3 linked regions of the Arabidopsis thaliana genome follow. The protein of the gene in region 1 purifies or fractionates together with the protein of each later gene. This does not show direct contact. Each region holds a gene or a part of one and is shown in the gene's direction. Other genes may lie near its edges. The genes, in order: TIM, PGM2 and PGM3.

What was found.
Region 2: the proteins of TIM (region 1) and PGM2 fractionate together in Arabidopsis thaliana (co-fractionation; one large-scale study listed by BioGRID). This does not show direct contact.
Region 3: the proteins of TIM (region 1) and PGM3 fractionate together in Arabidopsis thaliana (co-fractionation; one large-scale study listed by BioGRID). This does not show direct contact.

Annotation. Positions count from the first base shown.
Region 1 is NC_003071.7:9,072,823-9,076,577, reverse strand, and holds the start of TIM (triosephosphate isomerase), read left to right. Parts: upstream 1-2,107; 5' UTR 2,108-2,131; intron 2,132-2,825; exon of another isoform or gene 2,826-3,043; intron 3,044-3,233; 5' UTR 3,234-3,471; coding exon 3,472-3,666; intron 3,667-3,755. Other genes in the region: AT2G21180 (uncharacterized protein), read left to right, coding at 1,227-1,622.
Region 2 is NC_003070.9:26,671,406-26,675,160, reverse strand, and holds the start of PGM2 (Phosphoglucomutase/phosphomannomutase family protein), read left to right. Parts: upstream 1-1,994; coding exon 1,995-2,069; intron 2,070-2,278; coding exon 2,279-2,515; intron 2,516-2,735; coding exon 2,736-2,817; intron 2,818-2,912; coding exon 2,913-2,968; intron 2,969-3,121; coding exon 3,122-3,235; intron 3,236-3,354; coding exon 3,355-3,417; intron 3,418-3,563; coding exon 3,564-3,683; intron 3,684-3,755. Other genes in the region: AT1G70740 (Protein kinase superfamily protein), read left to right, coding at 1-129, 229-463, 600-786, 868-1,314. UniProt on the Arabidopsis thaliana protein: Catalyzes the reversible isomerization of alpha-D-glucose 1-phosphate to alpha-D-glucose 6-phosphate. The mechanism proceeds via the intermediate compound alpha-D-glucose 1,6-bisphosphate.
Region 3 is NC_003070.9:8,218,161-8,221,915, forward strand, and holds the start of PGM3 (Phosphoglucomutase/phosphomannomutase family protein), read left to right. Parts: upstream 1-1,647; 5' UTR 1,648-1,785; coding exon 1,786-1,863; intron 1,864-2,451; coding exon 2,452-2,533; intron 2,534-2,620; coding exon 2,621-2,676; intron 2,677-3,029; coding exon 3,030-3,143; intron 3,144-3,278; coding exon 3,279-3,341; intron 3,342-3,486; coding exon 3,487-3,606; intron 3,607-3,692; coding exon 3,693-3,755. Other genes in the region: AT1G23180 (ARM repeat superfamily protein), read left to right, coding at 1-84, 187-240, 321-361, 459-649, 724-1,355. UniProt on the Arabidopsis thaliana protein: Catalyzes the reversible isomerization of alpha-D-glucose 1-phosphate to alpha-D-glucose 6-phosphate. The mechanism proceeds via the intermediate compound alpha-D-glucose 1,6-bisphosphate.

The DNA of each region.
Region 1 (3,755 bases):
TGGGTTTGCGTTTATGTAAATAAATGATTTCGTATATTTTTAGGTATTCTTGATGTTTACGTGAAGCAAATATGTGTGACGTGAAGCACCGATTTAGGTGGATTTGACGAACGTGATTGGTTACAATATTCAATTTTAACCTTAACCTTGATTTATTATATTTGTATGATCGATTATGCTCTATCTTCAATCATACGGCAAAACTCTCCTGTGTTCCAAAAAGTTAAATTTCCATTTTACTATACAAAATAATGGAATCTAAAATAATGAATATCAAAATCTACGGAACCGAATAGTAAATGTTTATTGCGATATTTTATAATTATGTAATTAGGAAAGGAAAGAAGCTGTGAATTAACAGAGTAAATTATGTCAATTTGAGATTAGGCAGATTAGAGTTAAGGTGCTTAGGGTAAAAGGTCAAATCCTTTTACGTCATCGTTGAATTTTATGGAAGATGTGGTTAATGATAACAGTTGAAGCAAAGGAAAATAAGGAAATTTGATAATGACGCTCCACCTACAATCGTCTAGGTGTAGCCCATTGGCCATTACGAAAGAGAGAAGCAACTAATAATATTTAATTAGAAATGACCAATTCTCTGTATCCACGTTAGCTTTATTATCTGTATATACACTCATCTTTTACATTTCAAATTTCCAAAAACATAACTCTGAAGGAAAATGAAATTATGTAACTATTTGGAATTTGGATATTTTATGGATGAACTGGATCAAGTAAAAGAATAAACACGAAATAGTAATCTTTGTACATAAGAAACTGAGTTCATGTTTATGGTTTCTATACTATATCTAATATACATTATGGCACTATATTTTATTTTCTAAGCAAAGAACTCGAAGTTAATAACCTACTAATTTGCTATGGTATTAATGATTAATCCGAGTTGGATATACGTATTTTTAATAGAATTTGGCTTAGTCGATATAAAACTATTTGGTCGAAATAACGTGTTAGAAATTCTACACTTTCTATAAAAAGAAATTTAAAGTACATACTGCTTAAGAAAATAGACCAAACTACTAATCTTTAAATTACAGATGGTATTGGTAATGAATTTGAACAAAAACATTAATATAATCTTTCATCTGTCGGTCAAACATATAATATTATAACCTAAAGTCGGTTTCTATAAGTTTCCCTCAGCACATAAAAGAACCAAGAAGACCTTCTCTCATCATCATTATTATAGGAAGTTAGGAACTATGGCTTATGAAGAGAGAAGATCATCGATCCTGGATTCATTCTCGCTATCGCCACTACCATACCCAGTTCTTTTGATCCTAGCCGTTGCTTCAGTGTTCTTGTTGAGTTCATGGTACTTCAGCTTGGAAGAAGCAGCCGAATCAGCGGAAGAGCAGATAAATTTTGCGCTTCTCTTGATTCCTCTGTTTCTTATAGTCTTGGTCCGGTGGTTATCTTCCATGGAGAACCCTGATGCGCTTCTCGGGATGTTTTCAAGCAGTCGTCGGACAACTTACGTGAGTCCCGGAGCCGGAGGTGACGGTGGAAGCTCGCCGTGGGGAGTGGCGGCGTTGATAGTTTTGTTGCTTGTATTGCTTCAGTATCAATCAAGTTTCTTGGAGATGTGGTCTGGTTAATGATATTGATAGGTTTTTTTGATTTTCACGTGTTTTGTTTTGTCGTCTAGTAGCACGATGATGTAAAAATTTGGTCATTACTTACGAATTACGAGGTTTAAAATCTCGTGACGGTACTACATGTTATCCAATATCGGCTTGTCTCTTGGTTACACGTTGCCCAATACTTTGATAATTCATACTTTGAGCAAGAAGTATGGCGTTGATATTTTTCAAAAACTGCATTTTCAAGAATGCATTTACGATAAAGTTTTTAAAAGACCCTATGAATTGAATTGTATTGAATACATCCTCAATCAATGCATGATATTCATATAGTTGTCACCTCCATTTTACGAATCGTGATTAATCGTCATACACAAATGATCCACCAAACCGCATGTGATGGCACTATATGGCTCAAGAGCGTAGCCTCACAACAGTTTTAGTTCGTGTTTATAACCTTTTAGTTCAAATGTTTATATGTTGAAGAGGAAAAACCATTTGTGATTTTGAGAGAGATTCATCAGGTGATAAATTTGAGTTCTATATATGTCTTTGGATTTCGTATTATGATATTTTGACAACTTTTGTTTTCTAAACTTTTATGTTCAAATTTGTCTTCAGATATTTGTTTTAGACATTTGTTTAAATAATTATGCTTAAACAGTGTGCTCAATTCTTTTTGTACCTTTTTAAAAACATGTTTTATTATGATTAACGGACATGGTTGTTAATAGACATAATCACTATTTGTTCACAATCGAAATGGTCAATATTGGTCTAGTCCATTTTGATAGTTTTAGGTTTGATTGGTAGCTTCTTATCAAAACAGTAAAATATATACCGTTTAAAAGATCCAATGAAACTTGATCGGTGGTGAAATCAATGTTTGGACAAAAAGGAGAAAATAATGGATCATTCTCACCCAAACTATGGTGGTTACCAGAGAGCCACTTTGCGTGAGCTTTCAAAACAAATTTTTTCTCGATATTTAAACTTTTAACTTTAAACATATATATATATATATATATATATATATTAATAAATGAATAACAAAGATCTCTACAAGAGTAAGAGTAGTATTACAATTAACCATTAGAAGCTATTCTTGTTGCTTGACAATTGGAATGAAATATTTGGAACCAAACTGTAAGATAAAATGTCTTTAAGATGGAAAGTTCACAGAAAAGTGGCCATACGGTTCATGTTGAAAGCTGACCGCAAAGTGATCACTTCATGTGGAAAGTTGGAGGAAGTGGGCTGCGACGTTGTTACACTTGAACCCTATAGGGGAAAGAGTGGACTGGTATAAGGCTATTTGGTTTAAAGGAAGGATTCTCAAGCATGCTTTTATTGCTTGGGTTAATAAGAGACACATGCTCCATACTAAAGACAGGCTGAACAGCTGGATACTTAGTGTTCCATCCCTATGCCTTCTCCGGCAAGTATAGTGACTAATTGTTGACCACAGAAAAATTTATACCTACAAATTAGGCCCTTAGGAATACTTTTACCAAATTATTATATGTTCAATCTTAGAAATTAGTAGTACTAATTAGTTAAACGTCTCGACGGAAACAGTGTTAATGAAATGATTATTCATCGACCATTTTGGGCACCTGATCTTAGGATTGGACTACAGCGCGTGGCAACGAGACGTGACATAGGCGCGTGAGAACGAGGCTTGATGATACCATCTGTGAGTGCGAGAAAGACAAAATTACCCTCGAGAGTAAGAGAGAGAGCACAACCACCAACCCTCTCATCGCCTCTATCTCCTCTGCTACCTTAAGCTGAGAGAGTCACAGTCTCGTCTCTATCTCTCCTCTTTGCCTTTTTCCACTCACTACACGCCAAACCCGACGACATGGCAGCTACCTCTCTCACTGCCCCTCCTTCTTTCTCCGGTCTCCGCCGCATTTCTCCCAAGCTCGACGCTGCCGCCGTCTCCTCCCACCAATCCTTCTTCCACCGCGTCAATTCCTCTACCCGTCTCGTTTCTTCCTCTTCTTCTTCTCATCGCTCCCCCAGAGGTGTTGTTGCCATGGCTGGATCCGGAAAGGTTCCAACTTTAACCCTCAAACTCTATTGAAATGCTAGATTCTCATTGTTTAGGATTGAGTGTGTGAGAAAAGTTATTCCTTTTACTTG
Region 2 (3,755 bases), on another chromosome or scaffold:
AGGCTAAGTTGTTGGCTAAAGTTCAGCATCGCAATGTTGTTAATCTTTGGGGTTATTGTACACATGGAGATGATAAGCTCTTGGTTTATGAGTATGTCGTTAATGAGAGCCTCGACAAGGTCCTCTTCAGTAAGTTTTTCTTCTCAATGAGATTGGTTTGTATATTAGGATAAATGATATTGAAAGAAGATGGTTTTAACATGTAGTGGTTGCTTCATTTGAATGCAGAATCCAACAGAAAATCGGAGATAGATTGGAAGCAGAGGTTTGAGATCATAACAGGCATTGCTCGAGGACTGCTCTATCTACATGAAGACGCGCCAAACTGCATCATCCACAGGGATATTAAGGCTGGCAATATTTTGCTGGATGAAAAATGGGTTCCTAAGATTGCAGATTTTGGGATGGCTAGACTCTATCAGGAAGATGTAACACATGTCAACACTCGTGTTGCAGGAACCAAGTATGCTCTCTCTATTGTTTACCCTTAAAAAGCTCATTTACATATCTTCTTGTGTCATTTGAACTCTTTTTGTTTGTTGGTGTTTCATGGTAGAATGTTATTTAACGTCCATTGCTTCTTCTTTTCTTATGCGCAGTGGTTATATGGCGCCAGAGTACGTAATGCACGGGGTTCTATCGGTAAAGGCAGACGTATTCAGCTTTGGGGTTTTGGTTCTGGAGCTCGTAAGTGGACAGAAGAACTCGAGTTTTAGCATGAGACACCCTGACCAGACTCTTCTTGAATGGGTAAAGCCTCTAGTCTCATGCTCCATTGTTTATAGGGTTGTTGTGTGATGGCCTGACCCAGCCAATATTCTTCAGCGTAATATAACCAATGCTAAATTCTTTCTGAATGTGACACAGGCATTTAAGTTGTACAAGAAAGGCCGGACCATGGAGATACTAGACCAAGATATAGCAGCTTCAGCTGATCCAGATCAAGTCAAACTCTGTGTACAGATCGGACTACTCTGCGTTCAAGGCGATCCGCATCAAAGACCGAGCATGAGACGGGTATCTCTACTTCTCTCTAGAAAACCAGGACATCTAGAAGAACCGGATCATCCTGGTGTCCCGGGATCTAGATACCGTCGGCGAACACAACGTCCTTCAGGAGCAGCATCACTTGGAACATTGTCGACCACTGGTTCCAGCACAGATTCTTTCGGTTCAAACCTGAACACAAACACGGGAACTGGTGTTAGAGGTACCCCCGCATCTTCTAAAGCTTCAACTCGGAGTAATGCCACTAGAAGTGCTGGTCAGAGCTCTAGCTCAGACCCTCACGGGAAACGACATATGAGTTATTGAAGTACATAAAATCTGGTCATAGGTGATTGTAAATAGCGAGCTGCATATATAATATTTGTTTCATAATTTATTTAATTTTGCTTTTGAAAAGTAAATTAATTTATTTTTTTGACTGCAGTAGTGATTTAGTTTTGTAGTATGATTTGTTATATTAGCGGGAAAAAATTATGATTCATTTGTTACATTTGTATATTAGAATAATCACTTGTAGTCCCATTATCTAGGTCCCCACTATTGGCCTCGTACGTATAAAAGCATATTCTCTTGTACGTATTAACGGTACCTTACTTTAAACAAAACATAAAACTAAAATGTTTTTTATGCGTTTTAAATTATTTTTCAGTTAAAATTTATAAAAAGGGTTTTTGTAAACAATTATTTTGATAGTAAAAGAAATACTAACTGAAATTAGTGGAGAAAATACACAAACATATATTTAACTTTCTTTAATTTAAAATATACAGATTTTGTTTCTTTAATTTTTTTTTTCAAATTTTAGTTTTCATTTATTTTTAAATAAAGTATGACATGTCATAATGTTGTATTTTGATTTGTCATTAAAAAGGGGGTGAATCAAATTGGTTCACTCTAGAGGTGAACTTCGCCAAAGAATCACAGACCGTCAGTGTTAATCATCAGAGACATCAACGTAATGTTCCTCTTGGTTACTTCTTGCTTTAATGTTCCTCTTGGTTACTTCTTGCTTTCTACCTGATTCAGGTTCTTCAGTTAAAGTTTCTCTTTTCATTTTTGGGGTAATGCCCGGTTGGGCCTCGTTGTTTTATTTAGGTTCTAGTTCTAGGGCCTGCGTGTCCTTTTAGGCAGTTATTGCCATGTATGTTCTTTGGGCCATTCGTGCCTCTGTCGGCTTGTTGGGCCTTGTAATCGTTTCGGCTCTATTGGAAATTAAAAATAAAATATATATACTAACCCGTTTTGGGTAAAAAGTTAGGTCCACTAAAAGACGAAAAGAGATCCTACCAAAAAAAAAAACGAAAAGAGACGAGCCACACGCGTCACCTTCTCGTTTAGCCTCTTCATCTCCTTTCCTCAGACTCACTGTGTAAAAAGGCTTTTATTTTATCATCTTCAGGCTTATTCGATTTTCTTCAGATTTGAAATGGTGTCGTTCAAGGTCTCTCTCGTCTCTACTTCGCCTATTGATGGCCAGAAACCTGGGACTTCTGGACTCCGTAAGAAGGTTCGTTCGCTTTCGCTTCTTCTCCTTGTTATATCAATCCCCGCGTTCTTATTTCGAAATTGGATTAGAGATTTGAATTCTAAATTCAGATCTTCGCAACGAAATTGATTTCTTCATTTAGTTCCGATCTTATGGATTGAATGAATTTTGTGTGTTGGTTTTAACAATTTGATCCGATCCGATGAGATTTGAATTTACGCATTGTTTCGTAATTTTACAGGTGAAAGTGTTTAAGCAACCAAATTACCTTGAAAATTTTGTCCAGGCAACGTTCAATGCTCTTACTACAGAGAAAGTTAAAGGTAAAGATCTCTCTTACCTCTCTTTGATTGTTGTTCAGGTAAAGGTCGATGATTGCAAATTCCATCTAAGAAAGAGTATTTGTTAACTTTTTCAGGTGCGACACTTGTGGTTTCTGGTGATGGTCGTTATTATTCAGAGCAAGCTATTCAGGTAAAAGCTTTATATGTCCTTTGAATGATGGCAAACTGCGTTTTGCATTAACTTATAATTCTTAGACACTTTACTCTTATTTTAGTTGTTTTGAATCTTTTATTTCATAAAAAAGATAGTTCGTCAATACCACTTTATTTCCTATCTGGACAGATTATAGTAAAGATGGCAGCAGCTAATGGTGTTAGACGTGTGTGGGTTGGTCAAAACAGTCTGCTATCAACTCCTGCAGTATCAGCTATTATTCGTGAAAGAGTAGGGGCTGATGTGAGATATCTTCCTCTAAACTCATACTACTTACTTTTCTCTTGGGTTGTTATCTAAGGCTATGCATGTTTGCAACATGTAATGACGTGATGAGAAACTAACCCGAGATCCAATTTCAGGGATCTAAAGCCACAGGAGCATTTATCTTAACAGCAAGTCATAATCCTGGTGGCCCAACTGAGGTCAGTTCTCTTTTTGTTCTCACTCTTTTGTGCTTGTTCATTCGATACCCTCACTTAGTATTATTTGAATCCTAGCATCAGTTTTGTTAAACTATATGTTCATCTCTCTGCTTCCATATGCTGATTTCCTGCTATTCTATTCACAGGATTTCGGAATTAAGTACAATATGGAAAATGGTGGACCAGCTCCTGAATCAATCACTGATAAGATTTACGAGAACACAAAGACAATCAAGGAGTACCCAATAGCGGAAGATCTACCCAGGGTACCTAACATTTCTGATCTTATTACCTGTCATCATCTTTTTTTCATCTTGTATTTGTACTAATCATGTTTT
Region 3 (3,755 bases), on another chromosome or scaffold:
CAGAGGATTGAAGCTGAAGGTGCAGTATGGTTTCTTATTAATCTTCTGAAGCAGCCAGAGATCTCACTAAACGTTACAGAACACGTATGACTTCATTTTCTTCTTCCTTTGTTCTTTGATATCTTTGTCTAGGCTATTATGGAATAACTGGACGTGAAATGGTATTTTGTGAACTATGTTATGCAGGTTCTGGATATAATTGCTCATATCTTAGATCCTAGCAAGGAAATGGAATCCAAGGTGTGTTTATTTTCCAAGGTTGATTATTATACATTAAATCTGCTTTCATTTGGCTTATGCTATTTCTCTACATGCTACAGTTTTATGAAGGACCGGTGAACGGATCAAAAGCAGACTCCAGGTCAGTCTTCTTCTCGATCTTCCTATCTTCAGCTCATTCATTCTTTTTGTTTTTTTAGAAGTATTAATTACTCAAAACATCGGATGGGAATGAACAGAAAGGAAGTTCTGGACGCTGCTGTTTTTTCTCGGCTCGTCCAGATTGCGAAAACAGCCTCTCCGAACCTGCTAAGAAACGCAATCTCTGTCATCGAGTTTGGTATAATCAGTAATCCAAACATGGACACGATCATCTCCAAGGATATCACAACTGTTCTTGATCTTGCTCTCCGGCAGAAAGTCCTGGAAGGTACAAAACTTATCTTTTGATATAACTCTGTTTGAATTTTATAACAGCATACAATACTTTTTATGGAAATGCAGAACCTGAGAATGAAGCTGAGGAGTTAGAGAAACATCTGCTTAAGCTAGAAGAAGCTGGTTTGACGATTTCCGCTGCTTCAAGGCTACTGACAAAACTTCTTGACTCCGAGTCCTTTCGCCAAACAATAGATACCGCGGTCTTCATAGAATTAGTAAGGAAGATCCTAAGATCAAGCCTCCCTCTACACTACAAAGACTGGGTTGCCGCTTGTCTTGTCAAACTCACCGCTCTCTCCTCTCCCTCTCAATCCCTCAACAATCCGATCAATCTTGAGGTAACTCTGTACAAAACGATCCCGAGCCTCGTGGAACAAATGAGCTTTTCCTCATCACCAGAAACGAAAGAAGCAGCGGTTTTAGAACTGAACAAGATAGTCTCCGAGGGAGTTCCAGAATCTATCCAAACACTTGCTTCACAAGGAGGTATCGAACCGCTGGTTAAGCTTCTTGAAGAAAGGAACGAGCGGTGCGTTGAAGCGAGTTTGTCAGTATTGTACAACTTAACCATGGACAGTGAGAACCACACAGCCATCATAAGAGCAGGAGCTGTACCAGTATTGAGACGTATCGTTATGTCTCAACGACCACAATGGGAGAAAGCTCTTCGGTTACTCAGAAATTTACCCGTTTAAGACATTTTTACAGATTATTGTCATGTAAAATTTTGGAATCAATTAGAATAATATAATGTATGATTTGTCATGTGAGACGAATATACGAAAAGTTAATTACATTAAGATAATCGGATTACGTAGCACGTATATTACTATTACCATATTCTAGAGATTACACATGATCAATCAAATATTTAATCTTTGAAATGTTACGCAAGCAAAAATGAATTTAAAATCTGAAAATACAATCCAACGGCTGAGATTTTCTTACTGTGTCAGTGAAAACGAGAGAAACGTTCTAGTTCACTCACTTGGTTACACGTGTCTTGGGATCGTTTAGCTTTTAAGCAAGCTTCTCTTTTGCGTAATTTATTTAAGAGCTGCTTGCTTTTATCATCATCACTCTCTCTGCGTCCAAATTTTGATCTTTGTTCTTCTCAAAGCGAATATGGTTTTCAAGGTTTCTACCGTATCCACATCTCCTATTGATGGCCAGAAACCAGGAACTTCTGGTCTTCGTAAGAAGGTTCGTTGATCGATCCTTGTCTTCTGAATCAAACGAAATCGAATTGTTGCATCTGGATCAGATCTGTTTAGATTTTCTTGAGTGTGATTTTGAAGTGAGATTGACCATCTGATTAGATTTGATCTATGCATTAATCTATATTGATTAGTGAATGATGACAAATTTTAAATTTCGTTTTCGTTATTTTATTTGGATCAAGTTCGAGATCACGTTTATTATATTTGATTTGAGTATATGTTTGGGACGCTTCTATGTGGTGAATGTTGATTTGATAGAGCTTGAAATTACGTTTTTTGAGTTGGTGTAGCGAAATGGAGACTATATGGATTGAATTTGTGTATAATTGAAACTAGGGAAGAGCCTAGTTGTTATTGTCAGATCTTCGTTTAACGTATATACGATCTGCAATGACGTTTATTGAGACTCACTGATCAGATCTGTTTCAGATATTTTGATAAAAGAAATTTGGGTTGATCATTTTATCCAATCAATCGAGTGTCGATTGTTTGTTCTACTCTCTGCAGATATCAAACTAGCATCTTTTTGTATCTCTGATTAGTATTTTTTTTTTTTTTTCTAACTGTGTAGGTGAAAGTGTTCAAGCAACCCAATTATCTAGAGAATTTTGTCCAAGCAACATTCAATGCTCTTACGGCGGAGAAAGTTAAAGGTGAGATTTTTTTCATACTCATCTTAGCTTCTCAGAGATATCTGCTCATTCGAAAAATTCATGAGTGTTTATTGTTCATATGTGCAGGTGCCACACTTGTGGTCTCTGGTGATGGTCGTTATTACTCAAAGGATGCTGTTCAGGTAAGGCCGATGATATTCCCTGTCTTCTGGATCTGTGTGAATGTAATTGGCGTATCCATAGAATTATGAATTAGTGCTCATGTATTTACAATGTTTTGGAGGGAACTCCTGTGTTAGGAAGGCCTGCTATTATCATCAATGCCTTGCTTATTTTTCTTTGTGTTCATCTCTAAAATTTGCATCGAAACCTCTATAGAGAGATTAGAGGTTTATAGAAGTTAAAGTTTTGTTTGACTTTGAAATCTCTGAAACTTAAGTTTGTTTGATCTACTCCTATTACAAATCCGGTTCATACTGTTACAGATGAAGATGTTTTACTGCTTTTCATACAATTTTATTTTGTATCTTAACAGATCATAATTAAGATGGCAGCAGCTAATGGTGTACGACGTGTGTGGGTTGGTAAAAACACTCTGTTATCAACTCCTGCTGTATCAGCTGTGATTCGTGAAAGATCAGGGGCTGATGTGAGATTTCTTTCTCTATGCTCATGGTTGTAGTGACATTTTGTTTTTTGTTTTTTTTGGTTATTTGCTATGTTTGTGCATGACGCAAAATGTAATGATGGTTTTGAGTTACTTAACCCCAGTCTCCGATTACAGGGATCGAAAGCAACTGGAGCATTTATCTTAACAGCAAGCCACAATCCTGGTGGCCCTACTGAGGTCCGTTCTGTTCTTGTTCCATCTCTACTGTGCTATCCTTTCATTTGAACTATTCGTTTTGTATCTCTTTATTTGTTCTTTTTTTAATAATAAGATATCTAGATGGATAATAAGACTAAGAGGTGATTCCATACCCCTTGTACAGGATTTTGGAATCAAATACAATATGGAAAATGGAGGACCTGCTCCTGAATCAATCACTGATAAAATTTACGAGAACACTAAGACAATCAAGGAGTACCCAATAGCACAAGATCTACCCAATGTATTCTTAAGAATCCTCTTATAGATTTCCATCATCTGTCTTTTGTTGAATCATAGTTGATCTGGTCTATCTGATGAATGCGACAGGTTGATATTTCTGCTGTTGGTGTAACCAGTTTTGAAGGACCTGAAGGAAAATTTGATGTTGAA